Linked DNA regions of Schizosaccharomyces pombe. The gene in region 1 interacts genetically with each later gene. Each region holds a gene or a part of one and is shown on either strand. Other genes may lie near its edges.

Evidence for each region.
Region 2: mutations in xap5 (region 1) and get1 together harm fitness more than expected from each alone (negative genetic interaction), as found in Schizosaccharomyces pombe (3 studies listed by BioGRID).
Region 3: mutations in xap5 (region 1) and rdp1 together harm fitness less than expected from each alone (positive genetic interaction), as found in Schizosaccharomyces pombe (2 studies listed by BioGRID).

What each region holds. Positions count from the first base shown.
Region 1 is NC_003421.2:752,809-757,489, forward strand, and holds xap5 (splicing factor, xap-5-like protein), read left to right. Parts: upstream 1-2,443; 5' UTR 2,444-2,448; coding exon 2,449-2,597; exon of another isoform or gene 2,598-2,660; coding exon 2,661-3,378; 3' UTR 3,379-3,482; downstream 3,483-4,681. Other genes in the region: SPOM_SPCC1020.13C (DDHD family phospholipase), read left to right, coding at 1-481, 545-1,285, 1,327-1,823; protein Emc6, read left to right, coding at 4,557-4,616.
Region 2 is NC_003423.3:4,316,737-4,321,490, reverse strand, and holds get1 (GET complex subunit Get1), read right to left. Parts: upstream 2,583-4,754; 5' UTR 2,545-2,582; coding exon 2,458-2,544; intron 2,410-2,457; coding exon 2,043-2,409; exon of another isoform or gene 1,950-2,042; coding exon 1,888-1,949; 3' UTR 1,372-1,887; downstream 1-1,371. Other genes in the region: SPOM_SPBC16C6.01C (lysine methyltransferase), read left to right, coding at 1-1,371; m-AAA protease Yta12, read right to left, coding at 2,882-4,754.
Region 3 is NC_003424.3:1,322,395-1,330,109, reverse strand, and holds rdp1 (RNA-directed RNA polymerase (RDRC) Rdp1), read right to left. Parts: upstream 5,170-7,715; 5' UTR 5,105-5,169; exon of another isoform or gene 5,025-5,104; 5' UTR 4,858-5,024; coding exon 1,210-4,857; 3' UTR 1,049-1,209; downstream 1-1,048. Other genes in the region: phosphoribosylformylglycinamidine synthase Ade3, read left to right, coding at 1-848; exo8 (exocyst complex subunit Exo84), read left to right, coding at 5,774-5,811, 5,858-5,915, 5,970-6,111, 6,155-7,671.

The DNA of each region.
Region 1 (4,681 bases):
AATGATACCTTACGAGTCGTTCGCGGTCTTTGGATGTACGAAGATACGGGTCTTCCTGTAATCAATGAATTGTCGGATATGTTAGAAGAGGGCTACCAGGAAGTGAAGCCATACGCCGTTAACTGGGATAATGTTTTAAAAGAAGAAGAAGAAGGGAAGGATTCTCAAGATGATCCTTCTGTATTGTCTCATAAACGTAACAAGTCCTCTAAGGAATTAATTGATGCGATGCAATGGCCTCTTAAACCTACCTCCTCTGGCAAATATGTATTTTACGAAGACGGATATAGAGCACTCATTTGTCAAGGAGGTTTGTTATCCTATTTTTCAAAAGGGACTCAATCTCGAAGGACCAGTATTAAAGGTATGCCGGTCGTTCGAGATTTTCCTTACTTTGAAGATGATGGTTTTAATGGACCTAAACAAGTTACAGATCTTTTTTTGGTGGTTCATGGTATCGGTCAAAAAAGATCAGAGACTGGTAAGTAAACTTGATTTTTTTTTATCTTACACCGGCATTCAATTACTAATGTTGACAATATAGAGGAACGATTCTTATTTACCAAGACGTGCAACGTTTTTCGTTCATTGATCCAAATTCAGAAAAACATAATGAAAGAGGATCCGTTGATTCGAAACGATTATGAACCACAACTTCTTCCGATATGTTGGAGAAATAAGCTTAATTTTAATTCATATATAAAGCCAGTTGCCGGTGATGAAGGACGGGTTGAGGATGAAGAATTTGAAGAAAATCGATTTTCAATTGAGGATATTGAAATTGATAGCATTCCAGCGGTGCGAAGGTTATTAGGAGATGTGATGAGTGATATTCCCTATTATATGTCTCATCACAAAGAATCCATTATAAAGTCTGTAATTCGTGAAGCTAATAGGGTTTACCATTTGTGGAAGGACTGCAATCCTTACTTTTTAGAAAACAAGGGCCGTATCTTTATAATTGGGCATTCTTTGGGCTCCACAGTTGTTTTTGATATTTTGTCACTTCAACCCACTTTTGTCAAAGAAATTACTATAGACGATGATGAAAGCTGCTTTATATTCGACACAAACGGTTTTTTTTGTTTTGGTGGTCCGGTAGGTTTTTTTTTGCATTTGAATCAACAAAGTATTATTCCTCGTCGTGGAAGAGGCTCATCAAGATACGAAATAAATAAAAACTTTATAAATTCTGATGTTCCAAAGTCATATACTTACGATGGTTATGATCGGTACGGATGTCTCGCAGTCGACTCTTTTTATAACATCTATAATCACCTTGATCGTAAGCGCATCATTAAATTATCGTATTTACTAACAAATTAGCCGTTGCGATGCGATTAAATCCCACAGTGGATCTCTCATTTTCGAAAGGCATCCACCCAACTCGTATACTGTTCACAAGAAAATCTTCAAGTATTTTGAGAATGATCTCACATTCTAATACTGATCCTGTGGAACTTCGAAGTTACAATCAATCTTTGCAGCAAAATAAAAACAATGAGCCCACAGCAGTGGTCCCACTGGAGCCTGAACAGACTGTCGAGTTAGAGACTCGCAATTTTCGCAGAGAAGAAAGGGCCAAGTGGCGCATGCAAGAGTTGAATGAAAACTCTCAGTTGGACTACGTATTTACGAGTGCCCATGGGGTCATTTCAAACAAATATCTTTCTATGCTTTCGGCTCATAGCAGTTACTGGAGTAGTGAGGATCTTGCTTGCTTTTTAGTAGTGGAAACTGGCCGAAACTTTGGTATTGCCAATTCAATTGAGCAATTTCGTGGAAAGCATATGCCACGTATATTCAAAGGGGACAGCTCTTGAAAATTTTCTTTTTATTTTATCTGACAGTATACCAGCGAGCTTCATATTTATTAGCGATGCGAAGTGGACAAATTAAAATGAATTTGATGAACATTGGATAATGATGATTTTTTAGGATCACTTTAATGACTTTATATATTGGCATTCGAAAGATGGTTTTGCATTCAATGACCAGATACGAAAATTTATTAGAGTATTTATAGCAACACTAGTGATTAGCTAGTTTTTTTTTTGTTTTTAATCTATTGCTATTTTTCCAAAGCTTGTTAATACAAACGAGTAATTCGTTTTATTTGTCTCTAGATTGGTTTTAAAAAGTGTCTATACAAGCAGTTAAAGATTACAGAATGCTTCAAAGTGCCCCACCTCGTTGTTATTCTATTTAATAACCGTTTTGACAAATATAAAAAACTTATATGCAACGTGACTTTGGCAAAGTGTGCGTTTATTCTAGGATCCCTCATAGGTAAATGTAAAAAACATGTTCTTCTTCTACGATAAATATAGTAATAGTCATTTCTTTCATTTTGAGATTTGAAAACCGAGGCAAAAAAAGGGTATTTTGGGTATTCAAGCTTATTTGGAAGAACGCTCACCACTCACGTTTTTTTGAATTCTTCATACAATGAGCGGCCATACTGATGCCGATGAAATTCATGAGATTTTACGAAATAGTACGACTGGTTTAGTCCATTTAAAGGATTATCAAAGAGTAAAACAAAACATCGTTGAAAAACGAGAGAAACATGCGCTATCAACCACAAGTACTAAAATGTAAGTGAAAAGAACGAGAAAAGCCCGATAGTATTCTAAATATGACTGACAATTCAATTTTAGAAAAAAGAGAAAAGATGCTTTAAGCAAAAAGGTCAAACAGGGCATTAAAGTTAACAAAGGAAAACTTTCTTTTGGTGAAGATGAAGAACTGGAGAATGATGATCTACCTTTAAAAAAAGTTGAGAAAAAAATGTTTATGGGAAAGGATCCATCTGCGGATACCTCCTTTTTGCCAGATGCAGAGCGAGAAATACGTGAAAACGCGAAGCGAGCCGAATATCGCAAACAATGGCTAAAAGAGCAGGAGCAAATTCGGGAAAAAGAGATTTTGATACCATTTATCTATTACGATGGAACAAGTACCACTTATCATGTAAGGACTAGATTGAAAGATTCGGTTGGACACTTTCTTGCTGATATGAAACAGCAAATCCCATTTTTGAAGAGGATTCTGGATATGGATAAATTTTTACTGGTTCAATCTGATTTAATCATTCCCCATCACCATGAGCTTTACTACTTTTACATTAATAAAGTTCAAGGACGTGATGGACTTTTATTTGACTTTGATAAGCTGTCATGCTCTAGTCCAGAAATGGTTGCAACTACACAACTTCCTTCTCAATGCATTCCTCATCTAGTTCAAAAATCATATTATTTACAAAATCGCCATGTGTTTCCATGTGTGCATTGGGAAGTCTTTGATTCTCGAAAAGATTATTCATTGGAAAAGCATGCAACTGATCCTAACGCTGCATTATTTTACCGGCCCTCATAATGCCTTTTAAAAAGTTTTCGATTTTTTTTCTCTTGGTTCTTTATTTTTGTTTTGCATACTCATACTTCCCTCATCGACTAATTTAATAACAATTTCATTACAACTATATTGTTTTTATGTTTGTATTTTAAACAAATGAATTGCGCCAAACATATAACTTGATAAGCTATACAAAGAGAGAGACTTTGGTAAAAAAGAAACAGATATTATCCACTAAGTATTCGCAATGGGTTTTAGTATTTACACTTACTACTCTCAACATCACTCCAACCTTGACTGAAAACCTTGATTTCATTGATGTGCTATAGGATATTGTAAAATAAAGTAATTAAAAAATTAGCAATTCGCTTTTGGAATTATTAAATGTTTCCTTTATTATTGAATTCTCATATTTCTGCTTGTTTTTATTTAATGTATCGCAGCGTTGGTATGCAAATACATAGTATTTGATCATAAACATATTAACGATACGTTAATTTGCGGTGGATTATACTGTGCTATTTAGGTATACAATTTTTGGTAAAGAAAAAAGTGATCGTGACTGAATGATGAGAATAACTATTCTATTGTAAATAAGAAATGAAATTCGCTTTTCGTTCTCTTGGAAGTATAAGCATGTCGCTTTTACGAATGTTCACGAGTCTCTAATCCTTTCGGTATACTGTAAACAATCTAGTATGTAACGTTTCATCCACCATTTTCAAGTTTTAGAATTAGAAAACCAGTAATACAGGAAATATAAGATGATACTTTTTTCTAAAACAAATAAATATGAAAAATCGACCTTGATGTAAAACGAGAACCTCTTTTAAACAATGCGATTTCCCAATATCCTAGTAATTAGCCCATTTCTGTTCAAAAAAATCAAATGGAAAAAAATAAAGTACTCAATTGTATTGAATAAACTATTTCACCCTCCAAACTAGCCAACATTCAGCCCAAGCAAAAAGTAATGCTTTTTCCCATATCCATATCGCTTGTAGCTTTACATGAAAGATTGGCAATTACGCAGTTTGCAAAATGCTTTTAAGGATACGTCAAGCTGCGAAAAAATTACGTTCCTACTAAGTCCTTATGTAGTTAATACCGCAGTATAAAGATGCGTTATCCATCATTTTTTGGTTATAATTCTACAAGCGGTGAACTCAACTAAACATCAGAATTGTTCATAAGCTAATATGGAAAGGGATAAAGGCGTCGCTCCAATTGTTGTAGAAAATGTTGCATATAATGAACAGGTAAGAAATGATTGCAGAGCTAGATTTTCTTGGTACTAGTTTTTTTAAGGATTTTATAATTGAGT
Region 2 (4,754 bases), on another chromosome or scaffold:
GCAAAACACGAAGCTTACATTTCACCCAAACTGTATATCGCTTCAAGTGGGGTCGCAGGAGATGGTATATTTTCTACCTTTGATATAGATGAACTTGAAGTTTTAGCAAAGATTCCTAGAAGGATCATTCTGAGTCCTCGCAACTCAAGATTTGGAGATTCGTTGTATACACATTTTAATGAATCTAATCGGTCTGATGATATTAACTTTGACAATAGAGATCAGGTTGGGCTGGTCATGCTCGTTATAACTGTAATATTGGAAAATATAACAGATAGTCCGTGGAACGCTTATTTAAACACCTTGGACGAAACTTGTATGCCTGATTCCCCATTATTATGGAAAGATAAAACGTGTCTTGAGGGAACCTCAATGCTTGATGTAATAAATACAAATTTAAGAGTATACAAAAATCAATATGATCAATTGGTCCGCCCTTACTTTTATAAACATGCTGATCTCAAACAGCTTTGTCCAAAATGGAATCAGTATTTAGAGACTTGTGTTCTCGTCCAAAGCAGGTGTTTTTACGTTAACAGCTACTACGGTTTATCTTTAATACCCTTTTTCGATATTTTTAATCACAAGTCTGGTCCAGCTATTGCTTCGCTACATTGTCAGGAGTCAAATGATCATAAAGGCGATATCAAAATAGAATTTATTTCTTTTCAGTATATACGAAAGATGTCCGAAATATTCAACTCCTTCGGAAACTTTGCCGCTGATGAATTGTTCACGCAGTATGGATTTATTGATACCGCTTGCAAAGTTTGGCGCGTCGACATGACAATGATTGCTTATGAAACTAACAGAAATTTTTATATGGAGTGGATTCATAAAAAAAGAATAATCAACACCCAGGAGTTGCTGGTCACCCCAACTACATACGCAAATGACAAGTCTGAGACTTTACGTTCAGTAATGATAAGACAACCTATGGATCTTTATATAATAACAGATCATGGTCCCAGTTACGGGCTTTACTTATATTTATTTTTTTGCATTTACAAAATCAAATTCCAAAAGTGCGATATGAATATAGTAATGCTTACAAAGTATTTTAATGAAATCTGGGCTGTGTTTATAGCACATAAGGAGGGAGAAAAAGAAAAGGTTGTTGCTCAACTCTCTGGTTTTTCTTTTTATTGTAAGGCTATAGAATTTCTACAGATGCTGTGTCAAAAGCGCATTAGTCGTTTCAAAAATGGTGGGTTGACTGCTGAAGCTTATAAGACTCTATTGTGCGATCCGACTCTTAAACGAGAGAATAGGTCTCGTTTAGTCTTACAAATTTTTTATCATGAACTTAATTTACTCGAAAAATCAATGCAAGAAACAATTTATCTTTGTACTGAAAATTTTGAAGATTAAAAAAACAACATACAACGGTTGGAAATGTTGCATAAAAGGAAAAGGTAAGATCGAAGTTCAGCTTAAATTTTAATCATAATTTTGTGCCCTTCTTAATTAACATTGTAGTAACTTTATGATGTTTTCCAAAACCCTGCATCGTTCCCTTTCTAGATGTCCTGTGTAATAAATAACCTATTTGCCATTTCAAACTTTCGGTATAAACAGCATCAGAAATATGAAAGCGTCAAATTAAGCAAATGAATTAGTAGGCATAGAAATAAGAAATCCGATGACAATTTAGATGAAAACCAGTGTAGAGCACATAAAGTGTACAATTTGTGAAGGAATAACATAATATTAATCGTGCATGGTAAACTATGCTTTCCATGGCATTCTTTCTTATGAGAAAAGGAAGTAGAAAACGCATTTATAAAATGACTTTACTGAAAATACATATGGCATCTTTTTCCCTTTAGTTAATTAAACTAAATGATAAAATATTAAAATTAGTCACCGTCTTTGATGATTTGGAGATCAAAATATCCCGGAAATAGTTTTTTGAACCGCAAAATTCCAAACTGTTAAGCTAACCGATCCTACATGCCATGTTAGTATTTCAGCTGCCATTGTGATAAATGAAAATAAAAATAAAAAAAAGATTTTCAGAATTTTCATTAAAAACAACATACCGTAGATTGATCGTGGAAGAGATAGCACCCATAGAGCCCAAGAAGGAAGCAAGAATGCAGGGAGGAAAAAGACAGGTGTTTTGGACTCTTTGAATTGAATATAAAACCGGAATCCACGGGTTAAAATCCAAAGAAAAAGGCTTAAAACCCGCTTGAAAGTATCTTGGAAAATTTTAACATTGGCTGATTGTTTTTCCCACTCTTGACTGAGTTGTTCATACTTTCTATTCAGACGGGCCCATTTAGCAAACTGATCTTGACTGCTAGTAGCGTTTAGCTCTTTCTTAACAGTAAGCAGCTGCTCTAAAATTTCTTTGTTCTTCTTTAAATCTTTATTATTAGAAACACTAACGTAAATTCGATAAGCCTTTCACATTATTAGTTTTCTTTACAACAAGTATATATGTTAAATTACCCCATCAATAGTCCTTTTTTTTGCAAATTTATCGAAGAAATGAATAAATAAGCTTAATAAAATTGTTGAAATAATCAGATCCATCATAAAATATGGACTTGTAAGAAAGTACAGTGGTTAGTGTCAAACGTGTAACTGTTGAGTATCACGCTCCCTATGACATGCTGGTCTAAAGGTCGAAACTAAACACAAGTTTGTTTGTTACGATATTAGCTATTTTGTGTTAGAAAATAATAATCTATTAACCTTTTAAAGTTCAGAAGAATTGATGTTAAGTATATTTATCTAGCTTCTGTAATATTAAATAGAAAAAATAGATAAAATAGCTATATGATATTCAATTGACAAATACTTTGATCATGAGATCCATGAAAGTAACTATTTTCATTCATAACGCTTTATTTAAATTCAGTAAATTGACAAATTAGGCAGAAGGTTGTTGAGGAGATGGGGGGATTGGTGGATTTCGAGGATCGTGATCATTTTTATACTCAGACTGACGCATAAGTTCAGAAATATTTAAATGTTTGTATGCATATGGCCTTGGTCCAAGAATCGTCTCAACTTCGTTATAAGTGATGACTTCTTTCTGTAATAGACGTTGAGCAATATTTTCTAAGCCTTGCTTATGTTCTAGCAAAAGTTTCTTAGTTCTTTCGTATGCATGCTTTACAAGCTTTCGAATTTCTTCATCAATCATTTGAGCTGTAGCCTCAGAAAATGGTTTTTGAACAGTTTCCCGAGTGTCGATGGGATAAGCTATAGTACCAACAGTCGGAGACATACCATATTGGGTCACATACGCTTGAGCCATGCGCGTTACTTTTTGAAAATCATCGGAAGCTCCCGAAGTAATCTTTTCTGGTCCAAAAAATATTTCTTCAGAAACACGCCCAGCCAAAGCCATTCCCATTTGATCTAAAATCTGCCCTCGACTCATCAGATACTGATCTTTGGGTAAATAACTAGCATAGCCAAGGGCTTGAGCTCTAGGAATGATTGAGACCTTCAATAGTGGATCGACGTACTCCATAAACCAACCAGCTACCGCATGTCCAGCTTCATGATGAGCAACGGTGTTTTTTTCTTCAGGACTTAGTACCCTACTCTTCTTTTCCAAACCTGCCGTGACTCTTTCAATAGCTTGCTCAAAATGTACCATTTGGACTTCATTACTATTTGATCGTGCTGCAATTAACGCTCCTTCATTACATACATTCATTATATCAGCTCCTGTAAAACCAGAAGTTAGGACGGCAAGACGCTTGGCAATTAAGTCGATGTTATCGGCTGCCTTAATATGCTTAAGGTGGACCTTAAATATTTGTTCACGACCGCCAATATCAGGACGATCAATCGTAATTTGACGATCGAATCGACCAGGACGTAGAAGTGCCGGGTCCAATACGTCTGGTCGATTAGTACCAGCGAATACGACGATATGTTCGCTAGACGTAAAACCGTCCATTTCAACTAATAGCTGATTAAGAGTGCTTTCGCGTTCATCATTGGAACCAAATTGTCCTCCACGTCCTCTTGCTTTACCAATTGCATCAATTTCATCTATGAAAATAATACAAGGAGCGTTCTTGCGAGCAGTAGCAAAAAGATCTCTTACGCGGGAAGGTCCAACACCAACAAACATTTCAAGAAACTCAGAACCTGACACACTTAAAAAAGGGACGTTAGCTTCACCAGCGGTGGCTTTAGCAAGAAGAGTTTTACCGGTACCAGGAGGACCAGAAAGAATGGCACCACGAGGAATTTTAGCCCCCAACCTTTCATAAAACTTGGGATTTTTTAAAAATTTGACGAATTCCATAATCTCTTCTTTAGCCTCGTCAACGCCAGCGACATCAGCAAATTTTATTTTGATATCAGTTTCATGATTAAACATCTTCGCTCGGCTCTTACCAATTCCAAAAATGCCACCTTGACCACCTCCTGCGGCACCCGAAGCCCGTCGCGATAAATAAATGACACTTCCAATGATCAGTAAGGTGGGAGCAAAAGACAATAAAGTAGCAAGAACAGAGACTTCGTCATGATAAGCGACAGGGACAAATTCAGAAGGTGGAATACCCAGTTGACGTTGTGCATCCTCTAGTTTTCGATCGAAAGAGTCGATGGAACCAATTGAAAAATAGTACTGCCCTGAACCTGAAGCTACACCGCCTCTCAAAATAACTCTAACCATATTGCGGTTAACAACAACTAGCCGTTCAACTAAACCCTTGTCTAAAAACTGTTGTCGAAAATCTTGCCAAGTAATTTCTTGCATATTTGCATTAGGCGAG
Region 3 (7,715 bases), on another chromosome or scaffold:
TTACATTTGATCCAAATGTGTCAGTTACCGCTGATTTGGCTTTAACTAGTCGTCCCAAAGTAGCAATTCTTCGTGAACAAGGCGTAAATGGTTATTTGGAAATGGCATATGCTTTTTATGCATCCGGTTTTACTGCCGTGGATGTTCACATGACTGATATCCTCAGCGGTAGAGTTCATTTGGATGATTTTGTCGGTATTGCTGCTTGTGGTGGGTTTTCTTATGGTGATGTTTTAGGATCTGGCAATGGATGGGCTACTTCCATCCTTCTTCACGAAGATGCTCGTAATGAGTTTTACCGTTTCTTTAACGAGCGTAAAGACACATTTGGTTTGGGTATTTGTAATGGATGTCAACTGTTCAGTCGTCTGAAATCACTTATTCCAGGAGCTAAAAGCTGGCCTATGTTTACATTTAATGAGTCAGCGCAATACGAAGGTCGTGCAGTTATGTTAAAGATCGATGAAACAAGTGGTTCAAAATCCATTTTCACTGAAAGTATGGCTGGATCTAGTTTACCCGTGGTCGTTGCCCATGGAGAAGGTAGAGCTGTTTTCGATTCAGAGTCCGATTACGAACAATTTAAGAAGGAAGGTTTGGATTTGATATACTACGTTAACAACTACAACGAGCGTACTAGCCGTTATCCATTCAACCCTAATGGAAGCAGAGATGCTATAGCTGGTGTTCGCTCCCCTTGTGGTCGCTTTTTAGCTATGATGCCTCACCCTGAACGTGTAGTTTTGAAAGTTGCAAACAGTTATTACCCTCATTCGAAAGCTAGCGAGTGGGGCGTTCATGGTCCTTGGATCCGTCTTTTCCAATCTGCTAGAAAATGGGTTGGTTAAAGCATTTATCTTGCCCGGAGAAGCTGAATTGGAGTTCACATGCCGTAGTTTCTTTACAGTTTTGGTTTGTTTCGTGTTACAAAATTTTATAATTATTCTACTTAAATTAATGGTGAAAATTAGATTAAGCTTGGCAGATATAAAAATCGTTAATTATACATTATTACGATTAAATTGCTTTAACCATCGAGTATATGTGTAAAAATTATGACAACTCTTTTCCTTCAGCAGAAACATACAACAGTCTTGTTAAATGTTAACTCTAGCTACCTGTTTTGCTGTTCTATGTTCCATTGTCGATAATGAGTACAATTACTATTAGCCTTTTACGAGCAATTAAAGCTTCGAATGTATATTCGATTTAAAAATTATTAGCAGTAAGCATGGCTTTTCGTGAAAGCTGACAAAGACGACTAGAAAATAAATATGGAAATGAAATCAATACCTCAGTAGTGCCATTGCCAACAGATTTGACACGTTGATCGTATGTCACATCGTAAGTGGCAGCAACCGCACTGTTTATCCGTTCTTCATATTCCGAAGAATCAAATGCCGATTGATTTGATAAAGCGCATTTCTCTAAGTACTCTTGAGTGTATTTTTTCTTTAGAAGGTCGAACTGAAAGCTAACTTCCTCCCTAAGACCATATTCATTTACGGTTTTAGCTAAATCATCTTTAAAAAGGATAAAAGCTGTGTAAACTTCATATTCTGTGGAAATATCAAAACGAGCCATAATTGATCTCAGGTCATTATCATAGTGTTTCTTCACTTCTTCAGCTACATTCAGATATTCAGTTTTAAACCTTGGAAGTTTCATACAAGGATCATAAACAGTATTCATTATCGGATTATAAGTTGCAGGTCTGCCACTTTCTCTTTGGAATCGTGCAGCGTATCTGAAAATTTTGCCAACCGCGGTTTCGGAACGAAAAGAACGAGTTTTTGTTTTTTGCATGAAGTCAGGATATCGTTTGGGATGGTATTTGGCTTGCATTTTACAAGCTACTCCCGATTTAGCAAAATCTACAGCTTTTGAATGCATTTCTGCAAGTTCTAAACACACATTTCCAAATATCCCTTCCGGATTATTATCATGGTCATGGGCCCATGCCTTCCAAGCATTTGAAATTAGACCTAGCGAATCATATTTTATATAATTCACAAAAAATTCTTTTACCGAATCGATAAGTGGCTTTCCTTCCAAAAAATCTATAGACTTCTTGGGAGATGATTCAAGCAATGGGGGATAATTAACAATTTTAGGAAGAAGACGTTGATCCCATATAACTGTGTACTCATCCCCATCCAGATCACCACCAGAGCACATAGCAGGAATGCTTCGATCACCCGTTGTCGGAAACACTATCACATTTTTTAAATGCATAAGCTCATCGCATCTGACAGCTTTACAGACACGTACGTCACCTGGATGAAGCGAGGGATTCCTTGCAACAATACACAATCCAACTATAACCCTTGTTTTCAGCTTTCCAGTTGAATATGAACCAAAACTGGTAGAAGTGTCGGTAATTTGGATGAAAATTTCAGGTACTGACAAAACAGCATCATCATAATGACCCTTTAGTGTTCCAGTTTCATCAGCTACACCAAGTAAATAGGCACCCTTTGGAACACTAACTTTTTGTTTTTCCTTAATTAACCTAAGAACCCATTCATAATATAGATTTAATAAATTCTCGGTGAAAGCATCATCTCTTTCAAGGAAACCGGCCTGGATAAAATCAGCAATAATTAAAGTAGAGTGATATTCATCTACGTTGTCCCGTAACATTAAAATGGATTTTTGTTTGCTGTTTATCGATTCGTTCATTTTTGACAACTGACTTCTAGTCAATTCCAAAAATACGGTTTTTTCAACCCCGAGTCCTTCCAATAAGGTGATCAGTTGCATATTCAGATGGGCATTTGAAAATCGAGATATTTTAATAACTTCCAAGGTACTATGGAATGATTTAAATTTATCTTGACTACGGCGTGGAAACACAAGATTTCCTTGATGGTATTCAAGCTTAGTCGGAGGAGCTAAAGATAAAACGCCTTTATAACCACCCATACGAAATTGAAACGCAGAGGGAAACATATCATGATTTTTTACTTCCAAAGAAAGTCTTCGAATTACAGATAATGATGCCATTCCAACCCCATCAGTAAAGCAGTGGTTGTTACGAACAATATCATCCTGAAGGGATATGTCAACACAAAATCGATTAATTTCCTTTGTCGTTGAAAAGCATTGTCCCATCCTTGCTGCATACTTAGATACTGAATTGATTTCACTAAAGTCACCCATCCATTCCCTGATCTGTTTGGCATTTAGATCAGATCCCGAAGCAAAAAAGTAAGCACCATGCTCTCTTAATTGAGAATTTCCAAAAGCTAAAAATTCGTAAATTTGATTACCAACTTTAATTCCGTAGGTTAATAATTGTTGGATGCGAGAATACAATTTTTCATTTCTAAACCCATCAGAACCGCCTCGAATTTTTTGCTTATAGTATTCATCAGTTATTTGCACACGCATAAAACGGTTTGCAAAGTCCTTAAAATTTCTTATAACACGATTTCCTGCTTCTAATGAGTCTTCAACTATTCGAAGAGTAGTAGGTGTAACGTACAATTTTTTAATGTGAATAGAAGAAGCGGAAGATAAATCGTAAAAGACAAAAGACTTAGTAAAATCTAGCTCAGAAGGATTTATTAAAGCGGTTTTGGACGTTAGAATTAGTCTTAGGAATTTTTTTGCTCTCTCTTTCGATAATTTCTTTAAATTCGCCAATATAATGGGCAAATCAATTTCTGATAATAAGTTTTTAGAAAGGCAAGCCTGCAAAAGATAAGCAATCTCTTCCTCAATTTCTTTATCATTTATTAGACTACAGCGATGTTTGTAGTCTGGGACAAGATGGAAAACCACTTTATCAAGTTGACTTTTCAAATTGAATTTTTCCAAGTTGTGTAAAAGAAAGGCAATGTCATCTTTATCAGACTCATCCCTTATGGAAAAGCTAAGGACTAAAACATTGCAGCGTCCAATGGGGGCGTTATGGCAATTAAGTAGCTCTATAGGACTAGCAGTCGTTGGTGAAACATTGAAAGGTAGAATATCATAATGTCGTCTCCAAAGATGAGATGCAGTCCAGAAAGTTTGAACTCTGGATTCAGTTGCATTTTTAGATTTTCTGAAAATTAGTGGAGAAAATCTAAATCTAAATACGAGGGAAATATGATCATCGTAATAATCCGTCCCTACATCGCCTATTATGGAATGAAAATCGAAGTCCAGACGAAAGGTTTCGATCTGTTTGTCAAAAGAAGCATCAAAGAGAACACAGAGCTTTTTGAAATTAAAATATACAAGTAAGTTTGATTCAGTTACAGTTATTCCACAATCAACACCAAACAGTGGGACAATTCTTTCATCATAAACTTGCCCGAGCTTAAAGGAGGATAACGGGATTTTTACTAGCTGATCGCTTCTAAAACTATTCTTAGAGAAAACTTGTCGGCTGATGTGGGAACGATGTGCTGTTATGTCAATTTGAACAGCTAGATCAACACCTTTGACATTTATTTTCCCATTTGGTTCCCAGAATGGAACTTTGGGAGGAGGAGCAAATTGGACTATTGCAGTAGTACTTGTCTGTCCATTCAAAGGTTCATTAATCTTCATGAATTCTATTGTACCGTAATCATGAAGGGGTTCCCACAAGTTGTATAGTTTTCCTCCCTCATTTGAAAGCCAAGTAACTGGAATATCTTTTATGACAAGTGTAATCATATCCCCCAATCTCCAAGTACTACTTCTTTGGATTAGACAATTATCATTTCGTTTATTAGCCGAGTGCAACTGAGCTTCATTATTGTGAACGGAAGCCCATTTCTTTTGCTTTTTGTTTCTATATGGGACTCTAAGTCTTTCCCAGGGTGACTCACGAGAATAACGTTTTAATTTAACACTTATAAAGTCATTTAACGAAACTGCCATTGCTTTACATTGCCATACAAAATCTGGATTTAATTATAACCCTGACAACAAATCAATTTGGAACCTTTTGTAAAAATAAAACACTAAATCTCATAGCGCCTTTATGCAGTATCAGCAGCCTCGCTCTGCGAAGTGGTCTTTTATCATAGAAGATTCCTTTCAGCTGGCTATAAATTCGTTAGATACGAAAAACCTTCGATTTATATAAAAAAGATTATAATGTTCCTATTTATCCACTTATACATACATGTATATGTGTGCCTTTTTAATTTAATTGACCGTTATAGTATCAATATCTATGAATTGCTCTTGAAGGAAGTTTGTAGCACGGTGGAATAAAGTTAAGTGAAGGCTCCTTTACGTATAGGGAAGTAGAATCAAAATACTAAGAATACATATTCATCCTATATGAACCGGCAAGTTGAATTTCAGTTTTCAATCCAAAGCAGATATTGAGGTAGTTTTTTCACCAAGGAATAAAAAATTGTTAGGAAACTTCCATCAGTTAAACGACTGATATCATGCACCTTAATTCATGTTCAATATCGTGTTATAATATCTAGCTGATATTTACTATAAATTTATTTTTTAAGCATGGTATATAATTTGAGCTACGTAGCTTTACTCGTTTCAAAATTAAGTGCAGCCCTGATATTCCAAACCCCTCGTCAGCGCTTGATTTTACAAACACGTCCAACTACTTCGGCAAAGCAAACAACTTAATAGATTTTTAAAAATAGAGCAATTGCTCAAGGATAAATTAATTTATTATTCCTATTTGTAAATACCACAAATAGGTTCTTCATTCCCTTATTTTAATTGGTAAATTGTTAAACTTATTTCAAATGTGAAGCATTCAATTTAACATCCTTTAGATACATAATATTTATTCTTCTATCAGAAACTTGAAAAAAAAATGCCTGACAATCCATCTTCTTTTGAAGATGAATTCATGTACGCAGCTAGAGAATATCGGGTGTTTGAGCTAATTTTTTGTTAGGAAATCTAATCATTTAAGTGTTGCTTCGGAGTCCATACCAAATGAAAGCCAAAGACAGGTATGTACTGAAGTTAAATAAAAACAACCTATTACTAAAACTGCTTTTTAAAAGTCACCGACGCGATTACGAGTCGGTACCTCTAAAACAGATGATATTTATCGACAAAAACGGCAAACAAAACATATCATTTCACAAAATGAAGTTTTTTTACAGCCTAAATTTTTCGATAATCAAAATTTTGATGCTCAAAGCTGTATGTGTAATTATGTCTATTGGAAACTAATTTTGCAAAAAAGATTTAAACGATGTTTTACAGGACCTTAGTGAAGATGAATTTGTGTCTTTATACAATAAGCTTCTACGCATTCACATGGGCGTCCGTAAAAATTTGGAAAAGAATTTTTACAAAAATTTGAATGAATATGTATTTATATCAGGGGAGGTTGAGAGCATGACTTCAGATTTTAAAAAGTTTCAGTCTCTGTTGAAAACCCTGGAGACTGACATTGAAGGATTAAACTTGGTCGACCATACGCATGACCCTTCCGACGAATCAATAAAACAAACGGTACAGAGACTACGATCATCCATTGAAGGGCTAGATGAAGCATTCTGGGAAGCGCCTCAAAGACAGCTTATATGTGAGCAATACAATTGGATGTTAATCAATATTGACAATCAGAGACCTAAGCTTCTTGTCAATATGCTTCTGTTTAATGATAGACTGTTGGTTACTACTTCTCACATGAAAGAAGTTGATTTCCCTGCTAAGCAGCAGGTTTTGTATAATTGGAATTTAACCGAAATTTCTATTTCTTCAATTGAAACTTATGGACCAGCAGGTGCTGAAATGCTGCAGAAGGAGAAAGAGGTCTCTCTATACAAACTGTCAATTAACCATAACAATAAGACCACATTGTTGGCAGTACACAATAGTGAAGAAAGGGATTATATGGTTCGTCAGGCTCGCCATCACCAGCTTCAAGAACTAGAAAATTGGTCTAGAAAGCATGATGAAGATCTCGAATTTAGTCGTGAACTAGAATATCATACTAAATCGGAACAAGCCGATATGTGTTCGTATACATCCTTTCAAGTCCTTTGTAAAAATCTGGATACTCAGGACATCCTTCAGGCTTATGCCAAACAGAGAAACATGGTAAAGGAAATATCTATGCAATTTGATCATCTCGACATACAAATTAGCTTACAAGAGTTTACGGATGCTATTAGAAATTTGGCTTTGATACAAAATAAGCTAGAGCGTGGTAATCTAAACGAGTTGTTTGCCGAATTTTTTGCAGATAAACTTCACAATAGAAAGCGAAAGGTGACGGAAATTTTACTTCATCAACTTGGATTTAAAGGAATCAGTCTTTCCCACGGGAAAGAAATAGTTCGTTATTTACGCTCTTTAGGCCATGAAAAGGAGGGACAAGGTGTATTTATGAAGTCTAGGACCTTATTGATTAAAGAAAAGTGTCTGAATGTTCAATTGGAAAAAGACACTCCTAATTTCATCGATGCTTGCGCGTTCATAGTGTTTCGTTGTTTAGCGCAAACTACTAGTTCTTATTTGCAATTATTTGAGTTGAAAAAATTGGATCCCGCTTACAGGAACTGGATTTTTCAGCAAATTGAGGCTCTTGTTGATTTAATAGAAAATCAATATAAACATTTAGCCCACGACAGATCATATACGGACGCCGTTTCAAAAATAATGACTTATAACACGGAATTAAAGGAAGCTAAAATTGATGCCATGCCGATATTACAGCGTCTTTTTGATGTTCATTCTAAAGATTTAAAATAAATTTTGATTTCAGTTTTTATATAAGGGTATGGAATATAAATTTC